3 linked regions of the Caenorhabditis elegans genome follow. The protein of the gene in region 1 interacts with the protein of each later gene in a pairwise test. Each region holds a gene or a part of one and is shown on either strand. Other genes may lie near its edges. The genes, in order: B0353.1, F42H10.3 and aspm-1.

What was found.
Region 2: the proteins of B0353.1 (region 1) and F42H10.3 interact in a two-hybrid assay, tested with the Caenorhabditis elegans proteins (one large-scale study listed by BioGRID).
Region 3: the proteins of B0353.1 (region 1) and aspm-1 interact in a two-hybrid assay, tested with the Caenorhabditis elegans proteins (one large-scale study listed by BioGRID).

The regions. Positions count from the first base shown.
Region 1 is NC_003281.10:555,621-560,531, reverse strand, and holds the start of B0353.1 (ASD2 domain-containing protein), read right to left. Parts: upstream 3,015-4,911; 5' UTR 3,004-3,014; coding exon 2,896-3,003; intron 437-2,895; exon of another isoform or gene 386-436; coding exon of another isoform or gene 359-385; intron 1-358.
Region 2 is NC_003281.10:8,482,452-8,488,894, forward strand, and holds F42H10.3 (LIM and SH3 domain protein F42H10.3), read left to right. Parts: upstream 1-1,701; 5' UTR 1,702-1,706; coding exon 1,707-1,876; intron 1,877-1,926; coding exon 1,927-2,011; intron 2,012-2,535; coding exon 2,536-2,628; intron 2,629-2,675; coding exon 2,676-2,772; intron 2,773-4,191; coding exon 4,192-4,290; intron 4,291-4,955; coding exon 4,956-5,069; intron 5,070-5,248; coding exon 5,249-5,442; intron 5,443-5,515; coding exon 5,516-5,671; 3' UTR 5,672-5,914; downstream 5,915-6,443. Other genes in the region: Splicing factor ESS-2, read right to left, coding at 6,005-6,368.
Region 3 is NC_003279.8:9,221,174-9,228,412, forward strand, and holds aspm-1 (Calponin-homology (CH) domain-containing protein), read right to left. Parts: upstream 5,218-7,239; 5' UTR 5,211-5,217; coding exon 5,150-5,210; intron 5,099-5,149; coding exon 4,396-5,098; intron 4,332-4,395; coding exon 4,008-4,331; intron 3,904-4,007; coding exon 3,267-3,903; intron 3,221-3,266; coding exon 2,267-3,220; intron 1,908-2,266; coding exon 1,537-1,907; intron 1,489-1,536; coding exon 1,415-1,488; intron 1,271-1,414; coding exon 834-1,270; 3' UTR 577-833; downstream 1-576. Other genes in the region: lipt-1 (BPL/LPL catalytic domain-containing protein), read left to right, coding at 5,818-5,913, 5,963-6,199, 6,251-6,369, 6,419-6,619, 6,664-6,880; gip-2 (Gamma-tubulin interacting protein 2), read left to right, coding at 6,990-7,047, 7,095-7,237.

The sequences.
Region 1 (4,911 bases):
TCTGCGCCTCTATACTTTTTTTCTGTCCTTTTGTTCCGTCGTGCCGCTCAGATGTTCAAGTGGTATCGGGAATGAATATGTGCAGGAAAAATAATCGATACTAGATAATTTTTGGGATTTTGAAAAATTGGATCTTATGAGAAAAATGTTGAAAGTTCCTTCGAAATGTTCAGAAAACTTTTAAAAAAAGGTTTAAGACTTTTTAAAATGTTTTTTTTAATTAAAAAAGTGCAAAAAAATTGTTTCTTGTTTATCCAGATTACCAGTGAATATTATAAATTATATCTAATAGTATATCTAGATAAAATCTAGATACAGTTACAATCTTGACCCCACCAAAAAGTACGTATCTTCTTACCTTTAGTGGTGGCACTCCACTCATCATTTTTTGGAAGAAGAAAAAGTATTTGATATAATGGGTCTCTGGAAATTTTCTATAATGAAATTTAAGAAAAGAGCAACAAGAAAAGGTAAATCTAAAAAAAATTCAAGAAAAGAGCAGTTTTAGACGAAACTTTCGAAATAACTGCTAAAATGTACTGGAGGCGGAAAAATGATGGCGGAAGAAACTTATTGATAAAATTGGGAGAGAGGGAAAGAATTTGAATGAGTCATTGGAATTCCATACATTGGATAACAAAAAATATTGGTTTGTATTTTACAAAAACTTGCAAAAGTATTTACTGAAAAAAAAAGTTTTTCGAAAAACCGGTCGTTTGCTCTTTTTCTTGAAATTTTCCAAAATTTAGAACTGTTTGAAAAATTGCTTAAACGAAAAATGGCATAGAAAATTGGAATTTTGAAACAAAAACTATTTTAAGAAATTGTGTTGTCCGATTGTCTCATTTCGGTTTGATCTACGTAGATCTACAAAAAATGCGGGAATTGAGGCGCAGAGTTCTCAACTGATTTCGCGTGGTTAAGAACGTGCTGCTGCTGACACATTTTTTGAGCAAAAGATTCCCGCATTTTTTGTAGACCAAACCGTGATGGGACAGGCTTTCACAACGTGTCAAAACCAAATTTAAATTAGCATTCCTCTGTTATTAGGTGAGGTAGCAAAGTTTTTGCAAATTTTGTAAGCTCTAATTTTTTAGTTGAAAACTTGTACAAATGAAGAAACTGTAAGAACCCGAAAATCAAAAGTCCTAGCAAAAAGTTGTCAACTAATAAAATATGGAAAGTTATGCAAGTTTGAATTTGTTTCGAATGTTCATAAGTTAGAGAAATTTGACATCCAAAATCGCTCTTTTCATTTGAGTGCCAAAATTGTCTAATATTTCAACAAGAGAAAAAGAGATTCAGAGTCGAAAATAAAAGGGAACAGTGCCCTTCTATAGTACCCCTCACACACATACAAATATACACGCGCCGGCGAAATTTGTTTATGTACATTAAAAGGTAAGAAGATACGATTCCACGAGAGAGAGAAAGTAATACAGACTCAATGAGAGACGGCAGAGAAAACGAGGAAAGAGTACAGGGTGTCACCAACGTCCGCCAATCTCCCGCCAAGAAGAGGTACAGGTGACGAGTGAGAAGAGCGTGTGAGGAGTTGAGAGACGCCAGGCAGACAATGGAATGTTCGGGTGATACGCAGACAAACAGACAGATGTATTTATGCAACATTTATGCAAAGGTCATACAGTTACAAGAGCAGTACAGGTGGTGAAATTTGAGTTTATCAGGTTTAGAGAGCATTTTTTGGATGTCGATTTCATTTCAACATTTCCCTTCAAGTACTGAAGAGCAGTTTTCTATTTCAATTTTACTAAAGTTGACCTTTTTTGCAGATCTTACAGTTCGCTAATTTTTGATACTTTTTCTAAATATTTTCATACGTTTGAAAAATACACTTTTAGAAATTGACAACACCGAATGCTCTTTGTCCTATAAAATATAGGAGCTATCGCTACACTGTCCAATAAATTTCTGAAAAACGTCAAATCGGCAATAGGCCAAAATGAAAATTTCTGGCAAATTGACAAACCAGCGAATTGCCGGAATTGAACATTTCCGACAAATCAGCAAACCGGCACTTTGCCGATTTGCCGGATTTGCCGAACGGCAATTTTTGTCTGCTTTGGATGTTACTGGACCCTATTTTCAAACATAACTTACGAAATAACCAAATTTAAATTGAAAAACAAAAAACAATTTTATACGTAGATTCCCAAAATTTCAATATTAAAAATGAGTTTATTCACTAAAATTAGCATACTCTTAGAAATTGGAGCCATTTCGGAACACCTGCGCGTGGTTGTAACAAGACGGCCGAGAGCCTGAGAGGAAAGAGCACAACAATACATAGACTCTTAGGAGATGGGGGAGGAAAAGAGCAACAATAATATGAGCATAAACACATTATAATACCCTGCCGCCAGCTGGTAAACAGACTTTGGAAAATGGGTAAGGGCCTGAAATTTTCGGAAAAAGTCAACTGGCATAGTGAAAGCAATTTTTTGTACAGTATTTTGTCAATTGACAAATTTTCATATCTTCTAAAGTATCTGTATGTAGAGAGCGTGCATTTACGAAGTGTGGATTTACGGAGACACATGTCGCTTTACCTATTAATAAGTCCTTGTAGATTTACGGAAGCTACTCAATTTTTGGCAATTTTTTATTTTTCTACAGTATTTTAGTTTTACAATTTTTGGCAATTTTTTATTTTTCTACAGTATTTTCGTTTTAACTCTCTGAAAACAAAACAAAAAAACAATTTTTAATTAATTTTTTCCATATTTTTTTAAAAATAGAAACCTTTTTTCAAACAGCCACAATTTTCTTGAAACTGAATATATCAAAATTTTGTCAACTATATGAAATTTACCCAAAATTTCTCCCTAATATTTTCCCAGCTAATAAATTTCATGTATCTCTACAGTACCCCACCTCATAAGCCTCACTGATCCGTCTCCTGTTGATTCCATTGATTCTCCAACACCGTACAGTAACGTCTAGCAGTGAATCAAAACAGAATATTTTTGTTTCTTTTTCCATGTTTCAATTTTCAATTTTCCTGTGTCAGGGGTTTTATATTAAACTAGGCCCCGCCCTTTTCGCAAAAAAAACAATCAAAAAAGCCAAAAAAAAAAAAACAACAAAAGAACTGTTTTTGACGCGCCGAAATTGGAAATTTTTTAAAGTAAAAAACTTTTTAAAGTTTATTGTATTATACATTAACAAGGTTCCATGTAGATTTACTAGAATTTCACGTAGCTTGAGTACATTTACGGGGGCTATTGTAGATTTACGGAAAGTAGTGTAAGATCAAAACAAAAATCTAATGTCGATTTACGATCATTAAAAAAGATTTACGAAAGGTTACCGTATATTCTCTATTAGTGCTGCATGTCGCACTAATTTTCAGGTCCTTTTTGAATGCAACACTATTAGAGACTGCAGTACTGATAGAGAATTTACGGTATGTGGATTCAGAAGTGTCCATGTGGATTTACGGTAATTCATGTATATTTACAAAGACTAGCGTAGATTTACGAAAACTGTTGTAGATTTACGAAGATTAGGTGTTTTCAATTTACAACTACAGTGACTAGGAAAAAGCTGAATACTTATCAAAAAATATTTTAAAAAAAGATCTAGAAAACTGGAGAAATCACACAAAAGGAAGCAGTTCCGTGTCAGTGTTAGAAGAAAACACTCATCAAAAGGCACAAAGCAGTATGTAAAAGGAGAAAATGACATGGAGATGGTCACATAGACACTTGTAGTAGACATTGACCTTGTCTTCTTCTCCTTGAAGTGACGGAGGAATGGACGAAAAAGTGGATGGAAACAGAGGATTCTGTATGTAATTAGTTTTACCATATTTGGATGGGATGCGATGGAAATTGGAGGAACGATCGTGTGAAGAGGTGAGAAAACCCGAAAAGTGGATTGAAAACTGTTCTGAGAAATTGATTTACCGAAGCTCTGGTAGATTTACGGAGATTCTTATAGACTAGAAATTATTTTTGTAGATTTACAAAGGTTCTTGTCGATTAAGTGTAGTTTTCGTCAATTTTTGAAGGATTTTGTAGGTTTAAGGGAGCTGGTGTGGATTTACAAAAACTTTAGTAAGTTCACGGAAACTTTTTGAAGATGCCGGAAGTTTATGTGGATTTATGGGAGTTTGTGTCGATTTACGCGAGCTTGTGTCGATTTACGGAATAATATTTTATGTAAATTTGAAGAAATGTTTGTAGAATTACAAAAACGCATTTCTATGTTCTTTTTTTGCAGAGGCCTTTGTAGATTTACGGCAGCTCGTTTTGATTTACAGCGGCTGGTACAAAAAAAATTACAAAAAAAAGTTTGTGTAGAAATACAAGTTTTTTTTTCTCAGGCTTTAAGGATAATTTTTTGGAATGTCAAAATAAATCTTATATATTTACACAGACTAGTGTGGATTTACGGGGATTTTTGCAACACATCCAAACTCGTAAATTTATGTTGAAAATTCAAAATGTAATAAATCTTTTAAAAAAAAACTAACCTGAATAAGCATATTGTAGTACCGATGGCTGGCGTCTCGATTGCTTTTTGCAGATCTCAAGGTGTCCACGTCGTAGTCCATTCCCTGGAAAATTAAAATTGGGAAAAGGTGCATTTTTTGATTTCATGAAAATGAAAACTCAAAAAATTCAGAAAAAAAGGAAAAGCAGTAAATATAAAGCAAAGAAGAGTGATAGGAAAAGGGGGAAAACGAAATGAGTCAGAATTCATTCTGAATCGGGAGAAAACTGAAATGAAAACGGTTCTTTTTCGTTTTTTGCACGAAATTTCTGCAGAAAAATTGTATAGAGTAACTACTTTGAAACAGAGGAAAATTGATTTAAACAATAGGATGCCGAAAATGTGACCAGAAGCTTGTGTGAATTTACGGATACTCTCAAAAAACCTATGTTA
Region 2 (6,443 bases), 7.9 Mb from region 1:
TTGTTCCCATTTCAAACAATATATTTGTTTAAGTTTCTATCAAGGATTGCAAAAAACCAAAATCATGTGTTCTTGGGTAAATATGTCTCTTTTCTGGTGCCTAAGCCTGCGGTTTATTCAAATTGCCTAGAAAAATTTACAAACAATTTTAAACAAAACTTACAAAAGTTTTTCAACGTCGTTTTTTGCACATTTTTCGAATTCCGTTCAGCTTCAATACATTTTTTTTCCAAATTGGGTTTCAATATAAAAAAAAAACGTTTGAAATTTCATACAAAATGATGATGCATCATCAACATGTTGTATGCACGGCTTCTTCCAAGTGTTCACTTTTCACTTTACACCGCTTCCCCATCTTCTCTTCGCCGCCGGCTCCGAGGATGCGACCCGTATCTTTCTTATGTGGAGGGAGCTATTTTAAACTCAAAACTACTTTTTCGAAAATGAGCTTCTCAATAGACTAGTACCCTTTGCTTCGTCTTCTTCTTTTTTAATAGTTTCTTGAGAGGTCATCTACAATCCTTTTGAACTACTTTCAAAAATGGACAGATGCCTGCTCATTTTTTTGAAATTTGGACTCATTATAAAAGTATTATTTCGTAATTTACCGAACATTTAAAACAAAAACTCCTTCAAATCAAAATAATTTTTCCGGTTCTCTGTAAAATTGAATATTAATTGAAGCAAAAACTATAGTTGGGCTCCGAAAATCGCAAAAAAAGAAATGGAGGACATTTAAATTTTCGGGAAATATTATATATATATATATATATATATATATATATATATTATTAAATATTATTATATTATTCATATCGCCTCCACTACACTTTTGTTCATATATTATAATACATTTTTCATTTTCTTCCCAAACCAACAATACGTTTACCGCAACTTAATCGTTTGCCAAAACAAACCAAGTTCCCTGATTTCACTGATATGTGTGATAACAATGTGAGTATGGAAAGTCAAAATGAGCACAAACATAAATGTGTGAGAGTTGTGTGTAGTGTCTTGTCGGGGAGTGAAGAAGGGGGCTCCATGAATAAATAACACATTCTTCTTTCCCGCTATTTCTCAATTTTTTACCCGAAATCTTTGTACAATCACCCTATCCGCCCATTTCATCCCTCGTTCGTTTCTCGCCTCGTTTACTTTTACTCATACATTTTTTTGTCTATCCGTCATTTTCCTACCATTCTACATCCAACCTAACCTAACCATTCAATTTATTTACTCTATCTGTCTATGTTTCTTTGTTTCGCCTTATCTATCATTTATGCCATACAACTTTCGTTCCCGTCCAAGGGTGAAACTTTCCAAAAAGCATAGAATTTGGAAAGTATTTCCAAATTATAAATTAAAAAAAAATTTTGTTTTGTCTTAAAAGTTAGAATTATAAAGATTAAGGTTCAGCAAAGATAATACCTCAAATTGACAGATTTAATATTAAAATTTTCCGAAAAACCCAAATTTGATTTATTTAAACTGGCAACTTTTAATTTTACCACACATAATTTTATAAACCCAAAAATATATGTTTTTATTCTGATAGGGTAAAAATATGTGACAATTCTCAAAACTCTTATGAATTTTACCAATTTTTGCCAATTTACAAAAACATTATTATGATTTCTATTTGTATTTTTTTCTAGTTTATTCAAATATCTTCAATCTTCATATTCTACAGTTTTTATTTCCAGAAAATGAGCAAAAAGTGTGCTCGCGAAGATTGCGGGAAGACGGTATATCCAGTTGAGGAACTGAAATGTCTTGATAAAGTTTGGCACAAGCAATGCTTCAAATGCACTGTTTGCGGAATGACATTGAATATGAAAAACTATAAGGGATACGACAAGAGACCGTATTGTGATCCGTTAGTTTTTATGAGAATATTTCAATTTCTAAATTTTCAACTATTTTCAGACATTATCCAAAAACCGTGGCTTCAGTGATGGCGGATACTCCAGAAATGAGAAGAATCGCAGAGAATACTAAAAATCAGAGTAACGTAAGTTTTTGCAAAAAATTTAGAGAAAAAATAAATCGTCTCCCCATAAATCTCATTTATAATTAAAAAATATAACATTTGAGAATGTTATCCCAAAAATTGTAAAGAGTTTTTAAAATTCTTCCAAAAAATATCTGTAAAATATTTGTAAAATCAAAATCAAAAATATTATAAAATCTACACAAATAAATTTTGTCGAATTCGGCACTTAAAAAATTTGTAGTGGTGTCAAATTATGGATTCTCAAAAAAAGGATCTCGCCACGGAAACTACTGTAAATCAAGTTTTCTTGAAGAGTTCTAATATAATGTTCATCTTAGTATATAATGAGAATTTTCCATACTAAAAATGTAAAAATTAACTCAAATTTGAGTTTATAAAATATACGAAATTTTCAAATTCTTCGAGTTTCCAAAATTTCGAAAAAACACAAAAAAAACTATAAACAAAATAGCTAGTTTTATTCAATAAAACCTGCTACTTCCTATAACTGATTTTCAAATTTTCATAATCTGAAATTTTAGATCAAATACCACGCCGAATACGAGAAAATGAAGGGAACAAAGATCGAAATTGCTGATGATCCAGAGATGGAAAGACTGAAGAAAAATACTCAGGTTGGAAATAAATTTTTAAAGATAGAATAGAATAATGCTATTTTAAGGTTCAATCAAATGTTTCCTATCACGGAGTTCTCGACCAAAAAGCTCGTCAAGAAGAAGTCCGTCCAAAAGAGGAAATCTCACCAAACCCAACTCCAAGTAAGTTGTTCTTCCATTTTGTTGTCCCCATGGACTTGAGAATTGTATCGTCCAAGTTATGTCAAAAGTCTTGCACGGGAAAAACTTTTAATTCTTTTTTCAATTTTCCTCACTTTTCTCTTATTGTTTTTGTATCGCTTTTTACTGCCAGTTTATCAACTGGTCACTGGAAATGGAGGAGTTGTGTATGGAATTGGAGTGGCAATGGTTCAAGAAACTGAAGAGAAGTATGAAGAAAAAGAAGTTGATGAGGAAGAAGAAGACGATGATTATTGGCAAATTCCGGTGATTGTATATCCTAGATAGAATTCGCTTTTTTTTTAGAATTAGTTTTCAATGTTTCTTTTTTCATATTTACCATATTCTCTGAAACTGTACTGGAAACATTTTGTACACTTTTGGCACATTTTGAGGGGAAATATGGTATATCGATATCTAGATTAGATACGTTTTGTTTGTTTTCTTCTACCTCATCTTTGCTTTTTTCAGCTAGCCATAATTCTAGAGCAGATATTTATAATCAATCTTAAAGTGTTCTTGCTCAAAGCTGAAAGAAAATTACTAAAGACTCTCGCTTATTGAAAATTGTAAAAACTATGTGGGACAAGTTCTTGCCAAATTTTGGCAAAAGTATTAACTTGGTTGTTGCTCTAGGTCGCGCCAATATTCAGTCCAAAATTGGTCTAACAATATATATAGCCAAATTTGACATGACAAATTTTGAATCAAATATTTTTATCAGGATTAGGTTAATCTAAACTTAAGTTTTGTCCAGATTTGGACTAAACTTTGCCAACTTTTCAGCCAGGTACATACTTTTTTAGGCCAAACAGATAACAGAGTTTTCTTCTAAAAAAATAACACTGTTTTTAAAGAAGAATATCTTAGATGTTCTACAATTGAAAAAGCAAACTTGCAGTGTTGTTTCTAGAAAGCTGAATTCTTCATTCAGTTAGTATATAGAATTATAGAAAACTTTCCAAAATGGCTTTGAGTGAAAATACTTTTTAGATTGAACTTTAATTTTCAACTTCTTTTCGTGTCATATCAATGTCCTAATGTTCACTTATTTCTCAAATCTCTTCATTTGTTTCATACAAAATACACCTTCAGGTGTTGTTGTTCCACCACAACCCACTGAGCCCACTCCAGCTCCATCCGTCCCAGTTATTGACCAAAAGCCGAAAGCAGTCAAATCGACTTTTAAGAAAGGGCCAGCCAAAACTGTTAAAGCTTAATTTTCCTTTCAGTTCGATTTCTGATCATGACTATTATTTTTCTATCTATTCAAATCCTACATTAACCATGACAAACTGATTTTTTCAATAAAGAATACATTTAATTAAAGAATTATTTCCAACAAATCAATCTTCTCCATTTTTCAACTCACTTTTTTTTTCCACTAACCATTTATTGCAGCTCCAATCTCTCCAATGAACCATCAATCATATTCGGCTCCAACACAAGCAGTAGCCGCAAATACGCATTTGATCTACTCAACAGAGCAAGGTGGAGCAGGTTAGTTAGCAATTGAATTGATTAATGAGCATCCAAAAAGAGCACCTTGTGTATTGAAAAACTGATTGAATGCCTATAAAAGTTATTGCTGATTTTGTTGCTGATTTTTGTACGGATACATTATTTGACCAAAAATTAAGATAATGCTAGGTCTCAGTCTAAGCCTAGCCTAAGTCTAAGCCTAAGCCTAAGCCTAACCTCTTAAAAAGTTACAATAAGGTTTTTCCTTGCGCTTGGAGCGCAAAAGAAAAGAAAAAGAGCTATTTAGACTTAGGGTGCCCAACTGGAATAAAATATAGGAAATCCTTATGACACACTTAAGCCTAAGGGCCCGAAAAAAAACTAGGATGCCCAACTGGAATAAAATATTGGAAATCCTTATGACACACTTAAGCCTAAAGGGCCGAAAAACATACTAGGATGCCCAACTGGAATAAAATATTGGAAATCCTTATGACACACCGGCGGTATGGCGCGGCTTCAGCCTAAATAGCCACTTTTATCGCGCGTCAGTGGGGGAGCTAACGCTCCCCCACTGACGCCAAGCCTAAGCCTTGTCTAATTTATGGTATCTAGTTATATAAAGTCCAAATTTTTCGTTGTGCTTCATGTGTAATTTTCTAAAAGCTTTTGTGTTGTGCATTGTTATTTTTCTTCGCTTTCAGTATCTCCAACACCACAAAAATCAATCGGAAGTATTGCTGACTATGATCCAATGAACGGACAATGGGGTACAGCTGCTGCTCAACCGAGAAATTCCGAGAAACTTGGATATTTGAGTAAGGATTTTGTTTTTTTTTTTGGCTTTTGTTTGAATGATTTGCTCATTTGTAATCCACACAAATTTTTTGCACGTTTTGGTACTTATTAATTCGTTTTGTGGAAGAAATAATCTTTTAAAAAGCTCATTTTGAATAATTTTGATCTGTCATTAATTGAAACTAACCGCTTGTTGCAGAGGCTCAAGTGGATAAAGGTCCGGCAAGATTTTGTGCGGATTTTGCAGGAGCTCCACCTCCATCATCAAATAGTATATCTTCAACATCTCCACATTCAACACTTTCTTCTCCACAAAGCACAATTTCACCGACTGGAAAAGCTGGATTTGCAGTTAAGGCAATTTATGATTACGCTGCTGCTGATAAAGACGAGGTAAATTTAAATTAGGTTTTCAACCAGTTTCACGATGAAAATTTATTCAACCATCTAAAATATTTGATTCCAGATTTCATTCCTCGAAGGTGATATCATCGTGAACTGCGAGAAAATTGATGATGGATGGATGACAGGAACAGTTCAACGAACTCTTCAATGGGGAATGCTACCTGCAAATTATGTTCAACCACATAAACTTCCTACCGGATTGCACCGACTTTCTTAATATTTCCAAACCCACGCACATTTTCTATCTCTCCATGACCTGCTCTTGCTCACACATTTCCCCTAAATGCTTCAATTATGCTTCAGGCTTCTGCAGTTATTTTTTCAACTTTCTGAAAATCCCACAAACGGGTTCTGTTCACCTTCTGAATGCCTTTTCTCCATTTGTTTTTCAATCTTCTAAAATGTTATATGGTGCTGAAATTTAAAAATTAAAAATTATAATAAATGAATTTACTATCAATTATTAGGCCATTGTCATAAATAATAAACCGTGTCTATAAGGCACATGAGAACAAAATATACAGATCTAAATTATACTAATCTTATAATATTAGAAAAAGTCTCCAGCATTTGCTCTATCTGCAGCTCCGGCTGATGTTGAAGGTCCGACGTTATCCCCTTTTCTTCGGATCATAGATTCAATCCCAGGTGTGCCAGGAGTTTGTGCTCCTTGGCTCCAAGATGATCCAGGTGTAGTAGAACCACGACTCCATGCAGAACCAGGAGTTGTGGATCGCTTTGAACTTGACGGTCTTGACCAATTCGACATGATTTTCGGCGAGGCGAAAGGAGATTTGTGAGCAGGTAACATTTTTAATCCAAGCTTCTTGGTTGCCAACTTTTGAGCAGCAGGAGATAATTGTGCAAGCTTGTCTGAGACTCGCTTGGATCCAAATCCAGGTGTTCGGCTGAAACTTTACCAAGTTGAAAATTATTTGAAGTACTATTATCTCGTTATAGATTTTAATACCATAGAGAAATATATTTTA
Region 3 (7,239 bases), on another chromosome or scaffold:
AAAATGATGATACAACTTTTAGTGACCCGTAAACCGACATGAGTTACAGAAACTCGTTTCCCACGTGGCGAGACCCATACGCGCCTTTAGAATTCAAAAACATGTGTTGCAAGAGAACATATACAAATCTATTCCTGTAGATGTCAGCCGCTTCAACTTTTTTTCCAGAGGAAAGCAAAATCTAGACAAAGTTATAATGAAAATCCTGTCTGGTAAGTTTTTTAAAATTACTACTTAAGTAGCTACTTTTGATTTTTTTTTGTTGTTGAAAAATCACCAACTTTTGGCCGGCACTGCATATAGCTGGAATTAATAAAAACTAATGAACAATATTTTAAAAATTCGGAAAAACGAGTACTACTTCTCTCAAACTTTCGAAAAAAACCATAAAAATTTTGAGTAGGCGGAGCAGGAGCCGAATGACGTGACAAAGTACAAAAAAGAGCAGAAAAAGATGGTCGGAGGGTTACTGTGTAATGCGAACGGAGAGTAAGACGAGTAACTATTTGCAAATCGGATGAGCCATCTGCTACGCAACAAGTGCAAAACTCAAAAATTTTAAAGAGGGAACAGAGAAAAATAGCAGACTTCTTGAATTTCTAAAAGTAGCTAAATTCATCATACTCTAAAAAAAACGGTAGTATTTAAAATCAAGTTTTTACTTCACAACAGACTTTAAGAAACAAATATGAAATACCAAAAAATCCAAATAAGCATCAGGTTGACTGATCTTATTGGTAAATATTCACATAAAAATAATTAAACCGTGTGTATTTTTTCACGATATGATACACAAAACGGTGGGATGAATTTAATATTTAACAGAGACTAATTTAGAGCATATCTTCGCATATGCTTTCCAATCTGACCAATTTATTCCGACACTCCTGATCCTTGACTTTTTTGAGCGACTGCTTGATTGAGTAGCTTGATGAAGAAAAACTCGATTGCTTTTTGTCTGGGAATCTTCTAGCAATTGAAGTCAAGGTGTTAATGATAGGAATAAACAATTCCTTGACTTCCGAGTGCTTCAGCATCAGTAGCATCAAGCGAGGCGACAAAATCTTCAAGTGAGGGAGAATATGCGAATTGGTGACTTCTTCGGGAATCTTCGTGAATAATTTTTCGAGAACATTCAATAATGGATGAAGAATGCTCGTATAAGAGAATCCTCGATCCGCCACAATCAAAACATCAGTGATCGACTTGATGCCATTCAGTTCGACGACAAGCTTTTCCAAAAGTGATGGAACAAGATCGGTGACTCGGTCTGCAAAATATGAACATTTCTATGTGTTGTATGGTTTTGCAATTGACGAAGAAAATCATCCATGGCGGCATATTCATAAACTTTTGGTTTCTATGACTTTCAGATCAAAAAGCAGCTTCTTCGTAATTTTCATTTGCGACATACCGATGACAGTTGCAGCAACATGAACGACGTGAAGGTTATCATTTGTGAGTCCATGAAGAGCGCATTTCTTTAGCCTGAAAATCAATTTTTTTAAATATATTTAAAAAAAAAAGAGTTCTCACTTTGCCTCGACTGATTTATCCTCCATTTCTTCTATACCAATTTGCTCGTCTTCTTGCGCCAATATGTGATTGTATTGGATCATGCGATTGCGAATATTGCTAATTTCCATTTGGAATTTACGCCGTGCAATGAAACCACGTATCATTTTCTGAATGACAACAGCTGCCTTCTTTTTATTCTCAAGAATTTGAGTCTCATCATTTTGCAATTGAGATTTCTGATCCAATTGCATTGAATTTTCGAAGAGTTGACTGTCGTCACCGTGAAGGATAGCAACATCGTGCCCAGCATCTGATCTACTGTCGGACGAATCCTCCCCGCCATCACGAACAGCTAACGCATTTCTCTCGATGTTTCCCAGTTTTCTCGCCTGAAACTTTTAACCATTTTTAACCAGGCCCTGACCACTTTTTAGAGATATCCGTTTTTACAGCTAATTTTACTGGTTTTTCTCGGATTTTTTTGTGCTTCCATTTGAGACGCCAGATGAGAAAAGAAAATCCATTCAAATTTTCCAGGAAAACGAATATCTCGGCGGGCCTTATCAGTCGCTTCTTTTATTGTTACAAAATTTTTAAAAAACCCATTAAAAAATTTAGAAAAATGTTCAATTTTTTACAGTTATATGTGGTCATTATGATCTGTTCTCTCATTTAAAGCAAAAAATGTTTCGTTTTTTGACTGTTGAGTCCACCATTAAATAATCTGTCAAACTTGATATAGACTCACAATTTCCTGTTGCTTTCTCTTGAGTTCTCTGGTTTGTCTCAAGATCCTTCTAAGTTCAGGAGTGTTGGCATCGTCCTCAATAGACACACTAAGGTTATTCGTCTTGACGAAGTTCTTCTGATCTTCTGATAATGACTGGAAAAGCATCTCTAAACGCTCCTGTTCTTCTGTCATTCTGAATTCAACCAATGGGCTTCCGCTTGTCTGCGTAGGATCCATAGGAGATTTTGAAGGTAGATCTTCTTGCGTCTTGCCCTCTTTGATTTCAAAAGTTTCTAAGTTCTCAATTTTCTGACCATCATAGCTTGCTTCATTGTTCCCTTCTAGTGCAACCGGAGAATCTGATGCTTCAAGAACTACGACGCCGACATCTTCAGCTTTAGGGACATGCATCTCTTTGCCAGTTTCAGAGTCTTGAAGAAATATGGCAGATTGGGAAGCGGAAGGAATAGAAGAAAGAGTTTCTAATGGGATGTCTGAAGGTGGACTATCCAAGTTCTCAGCGGAAGGAGCAACAGTGTCTTTGTCTTGGTTTTCATCATCTTCATCTTGTTCTCTGAATACTTCCGCATTGTGCTCCATTCTGACAACGGTTCTCTTTTTCAATGTACTTGGTACGACCGTTTCGTTATTTTCCGAATCATCCTCTTCCTCGATAACCATCGCAATTGTTTTTCTTGTGAATGTACCTCTCAGTGGAGTTTTCTGCATCTTGTTCATGCTTTCAATTGAATCACGTGAAACAGTAAACGTCGCATCGTTGAAGGTAGAATCCATTGATTGGCGAGACGATGGGATTTGTGATAGAGATGGTCTTTCAGTCAGAATATTATTCCGTGGAGTCCTCGGTACTGTGAAAGTGACATTATTAGAGAATGGAGAAACACTTCGGTTTCGAGGAATTGATGAGTCGGCAAGAAGTTGTTGTACAATGAAATACAGCTTGGGAGTATTCTGAAAGTGAATTATAATATAAATAACTTTATTTTTTGATGAATACCTTTCTTTGCACGTAGGCCTTCCACATTCGTTGAATCTTGGTCGCTTTCTCATTTAGATCTTGAATCATACCCAGTCGTTCCAGAAACATTTTTACGAAAAGAGCCATGTTCTGATCAAGTCCTCGCTGAATACAAAGCTCCAACTCGGCAACTGAAACAACTTTCTCCCACAGACTGAGTCCATCATAGTCCTGAATCGGTGTTGAATTTGTTCCGAAAGTGGTCCACAACTTGGCCAGAAGGCACCCATCGGAGAGTGAATCCAAGTCCATGACTTCGATTTCCATCTGTCTTCCGTAAATCTTGCACATTTTTAATACTTCAGAAGACATGTCATCGTGGACAGCAGATCGCCGCTTTTTCGGAGTTCTTTCTTCAGAAACTCTCGTCACCTTGATTCTTTGTTCCTTGGCCACACGAACTCCGATAATAGCCCACAAAATAGACAAAATCTCGTCTTTCTTTCCGCCAACGATTGATTCGGCGTTAACATTATCCGTTGGAACACCCAAAGAAGACATCTCCTGGAGTACAATCTTCACGTTTCCAATTTTGCGGATGCGGTCGCCTGCTGGATCACGTAACTTCAACAGAATTTGACCATGCGGCATCTCTCCGACAGTTTCCAACAGCTTTCTGAAAAATAGGTTATGATCGGTGGAAATAGGGACAGTGATAACATTTGTTGTTGAATGAGGAAAAGCTCGTGTAATTTATAAGAAATCTTTCTAGAAACTCACGCCAAAATTAGACCATCCGAGAAATCTGAAAATCCTTTCGCTTGGTAGTCGTAATTTTCAATGAATGATTGTCGGTAAGTCGGAATAAAACCGACTTTTGCAAACGCTTTTTTGAAAGTAGCAGAGCTTCCAGTCAACAATTCCTTCGTCAGTTCGGAGAACACATCGTCGAGACAATTGAAATGAGAGGACTTCGTGAAGATTCTCGTCAGATTCGGGATAACTCGATGAGTGTGTGCCGTTTCAATCAAGAACATCAGCTTCATCGAGACGGACAGAAAATGCTTGTGTAGAGCTTCTTTGCCAGCCTCAGTGATGATCGGTCTGCAAAAATTTGATTAGGCATAATTTTAACGAACTCGTTCATCCTCTGAAATCAGCAACTTACTTTCCAGAACCTTGTGCAAATTTCTTGTTCTTTAGCATCGTCGGATTTGAGAAAACTAGATCGAGGAAAAACTGAGAAAGTTTTTTCATTAAATGCTTCGGTTGAGCGTCAATTCTCGTGTTAAAGATTGCTTCAAGAGCAGTTTTCAGCCAAGCAGGATGGAATGATAGAAATGTGTGAAGAAGAGTTGTTTGGAGGCCTATGTCATTATATACGGCATGTTCTTTTCGGATTGCGACGTTGTTTTTGGACAGAAGATCCTTGATGCTTGCATCCATTCCTGAATCGTCTAGAAGCTGCTTGCACTTTTTCTTCACAACTTCTGGATCATTTTTCTCAAAAATCCGTTGATATCTCCTGCGTGCATTTTCCTGTGTATTTTCCACTTCTGACGTATCTGATCTTTTCTTCAACATTTTTTGGATATTTCTGCAGGCTTCTGCTTTCGACTCTCCTAGATCCATCTCTTCAGACACATCCAATTCCATCATTGTGTTGCACCACGTGGCGAGTGCAATAATTTGCTTGTTGGCTTTCTCATCATATGATAGAATCGGGGAATCTGATACAGAAGAGCTGATTGAAGGATTGAGAGGAGTTCGCATATTCATTGAAGTCGGACTCGACTCCAAAAAGGCTCGCTCGGTTGCTCTCAAATCGATCTTCTTTGTGTTCGATTTGACTTGATCAAGAAGGCGTTTCTCTGAAAGAGGAAGAAAATAAATAATGAGATAAAGTATAAATATCTTGTTACCGTGTCGATTTGCTAATCGTTTGAGCATTGCCTCTTTTTTATCCTCAACGTTATTATCCATTTTGATTCTGAAAAATACAAAAAATAAAGACGAATAAATCAGGAAGGAAGACACAGCGATATTAGTTTCAATGCCGAGTCCAAAACGCGAAAAAGTCCCGATGTTGTTAGTTTTTTGTCAGTTTTCAGTGCAATTGTCGAACAAAGAAGACAATTTGGGGACTTTTACGCGTTTTGGACGCGGTACAAATGGCCACCTAAAACGGAGGAAAAAAACGTTTTGGGGATAAATCCGGAATTCGCGCCGCGTTCAGGTTGGGTACTGTAATCGTGATAAGACCATTTCTTTGAACTAAGAAGTGTGCCTTTAAACTGCTACTGTGCATTTTTATAATTCACACAAAAATTATATTTTAAAAAAGATTTTAAGGTGACGATTTTATAGTAGAAAAGCGTTAAACAGTTTTCAGGTAGCTTTCGGAAATTTAGATCAAACAAAAATCAATGAAAAAAAAGTAAAATTTATGTTTTGAACGCTCGCGCCACAATGTCATAAATGGAGCGCAATTACTGAATGTCTGCGTCTCCTTAATGCTAGCAATCTCTTCTTCTCAAATCTTGCAAATAAACAGTTTTCTTACCTTTTCCTAATTTATTTTTCTTGTTAAATGTGTTCTATATCACGCGGAAAATTGTCCACAGTTCTGAAATCCACGTCAAGCTGCATTTTCGAAAATCTTGCGTATGAGGAGCATATTTTCAGGGTCAGTTCAGCAGTAATTTCAGTGCCTTTGCTATAGTTTTTGATTTCAGACTCACAATGTCGCTCAAAACGGGGAAATCCTGCTCATGTGGAGTAATCGACCGGCTGTAGTCATCGGAAGACATCAAAATCCGTGGATTGAAGTCAACATACCATATGCTAACAAAAATAATATTCAAATTGTCCGAAGGCACAGTGGAGGAGGCACTGTTTATCATGATCTAGGAAATCTGAATATTTCACTTTTAACAACACACGCACAACACTGTCGGCCAAAAAACTTGAAGGTATTAATATCATTTTTCAAAATAATAAAAATATCATTTTATTATTTCCAGTTCATTTCGGATGCTCTAAATCAACAATTTTCTGTTAAAATCGTTCCAAACAAGCGTGATGACATGGAACTACATCCAGGAGAACGGAAATGCTCAGGAACAGCTGCAAGAATTGCGCGGTATTTTTAAAAAAAATATTTTAAACACTTGTTATGTGAATAATTTAAGAGGTCAAGCCTATCACCATCTAACACTCCTCGTCGGTGCGGATCTTCAAGTATTATCAAAATCTTTGAAATCTCCATGGAGAGATAAAATCGAATCAAATGCTACAAGAAGCGTAAGAGCTCCGGCTGTTGGATTTCTGAAACAAGATGATGCCAATGCAAATGTCGAACAATCAAAATTAGCCATTGTTGAAGCTTATAGGTGAACGGAGCAACTAAAAACTTCCAATCATTAAAAAATTTCAGAAAACTGTTCGAAGAATCACATATAAAAACTGTGAATGTTGCAGAGGAAGTGAAGAAAAATGCAGAAATATCGAAAATCTTTGATGAGTTGAAAGCCTGGAAATGGATTTATGGAAAAAGCCCGAAATTTCAATATTCCCGCGAAAATAAGTCCATAATTGAAGTGAAAGATGGACTCGTGTTAGACACAAATCAACAATTCTCGCCGGATCTTTAGTCATTTCTTTTTATTTTAATTATTTTCTAGTCGTTATTTGATTTTCCGTGTATTTTCCCTTGTTCTCTTGCTCACAGTAATTCCGTTTAAGTAAAATTTAAATTTTTAGATGATGCGAACTGCTCACAAGGATAGAGAGCCGTGGAGGGATATTCGCCGTAGTTTGTGTAAGATTTGAAAAAGCAAAGTTTTTTGTTAATTTCGTATCTTTTAGTGAGCAAATGGCAAGGAGTACGTGTCTGTGATGAACCATCACCATGGTATATGTCCATTCCAACACCATTCAGTCAATTCCATAATGTTTTACCAGAAGAACAAGAGGAAATGGTTTTCACTGAGCTCAAGCTATTTCTAGTCGT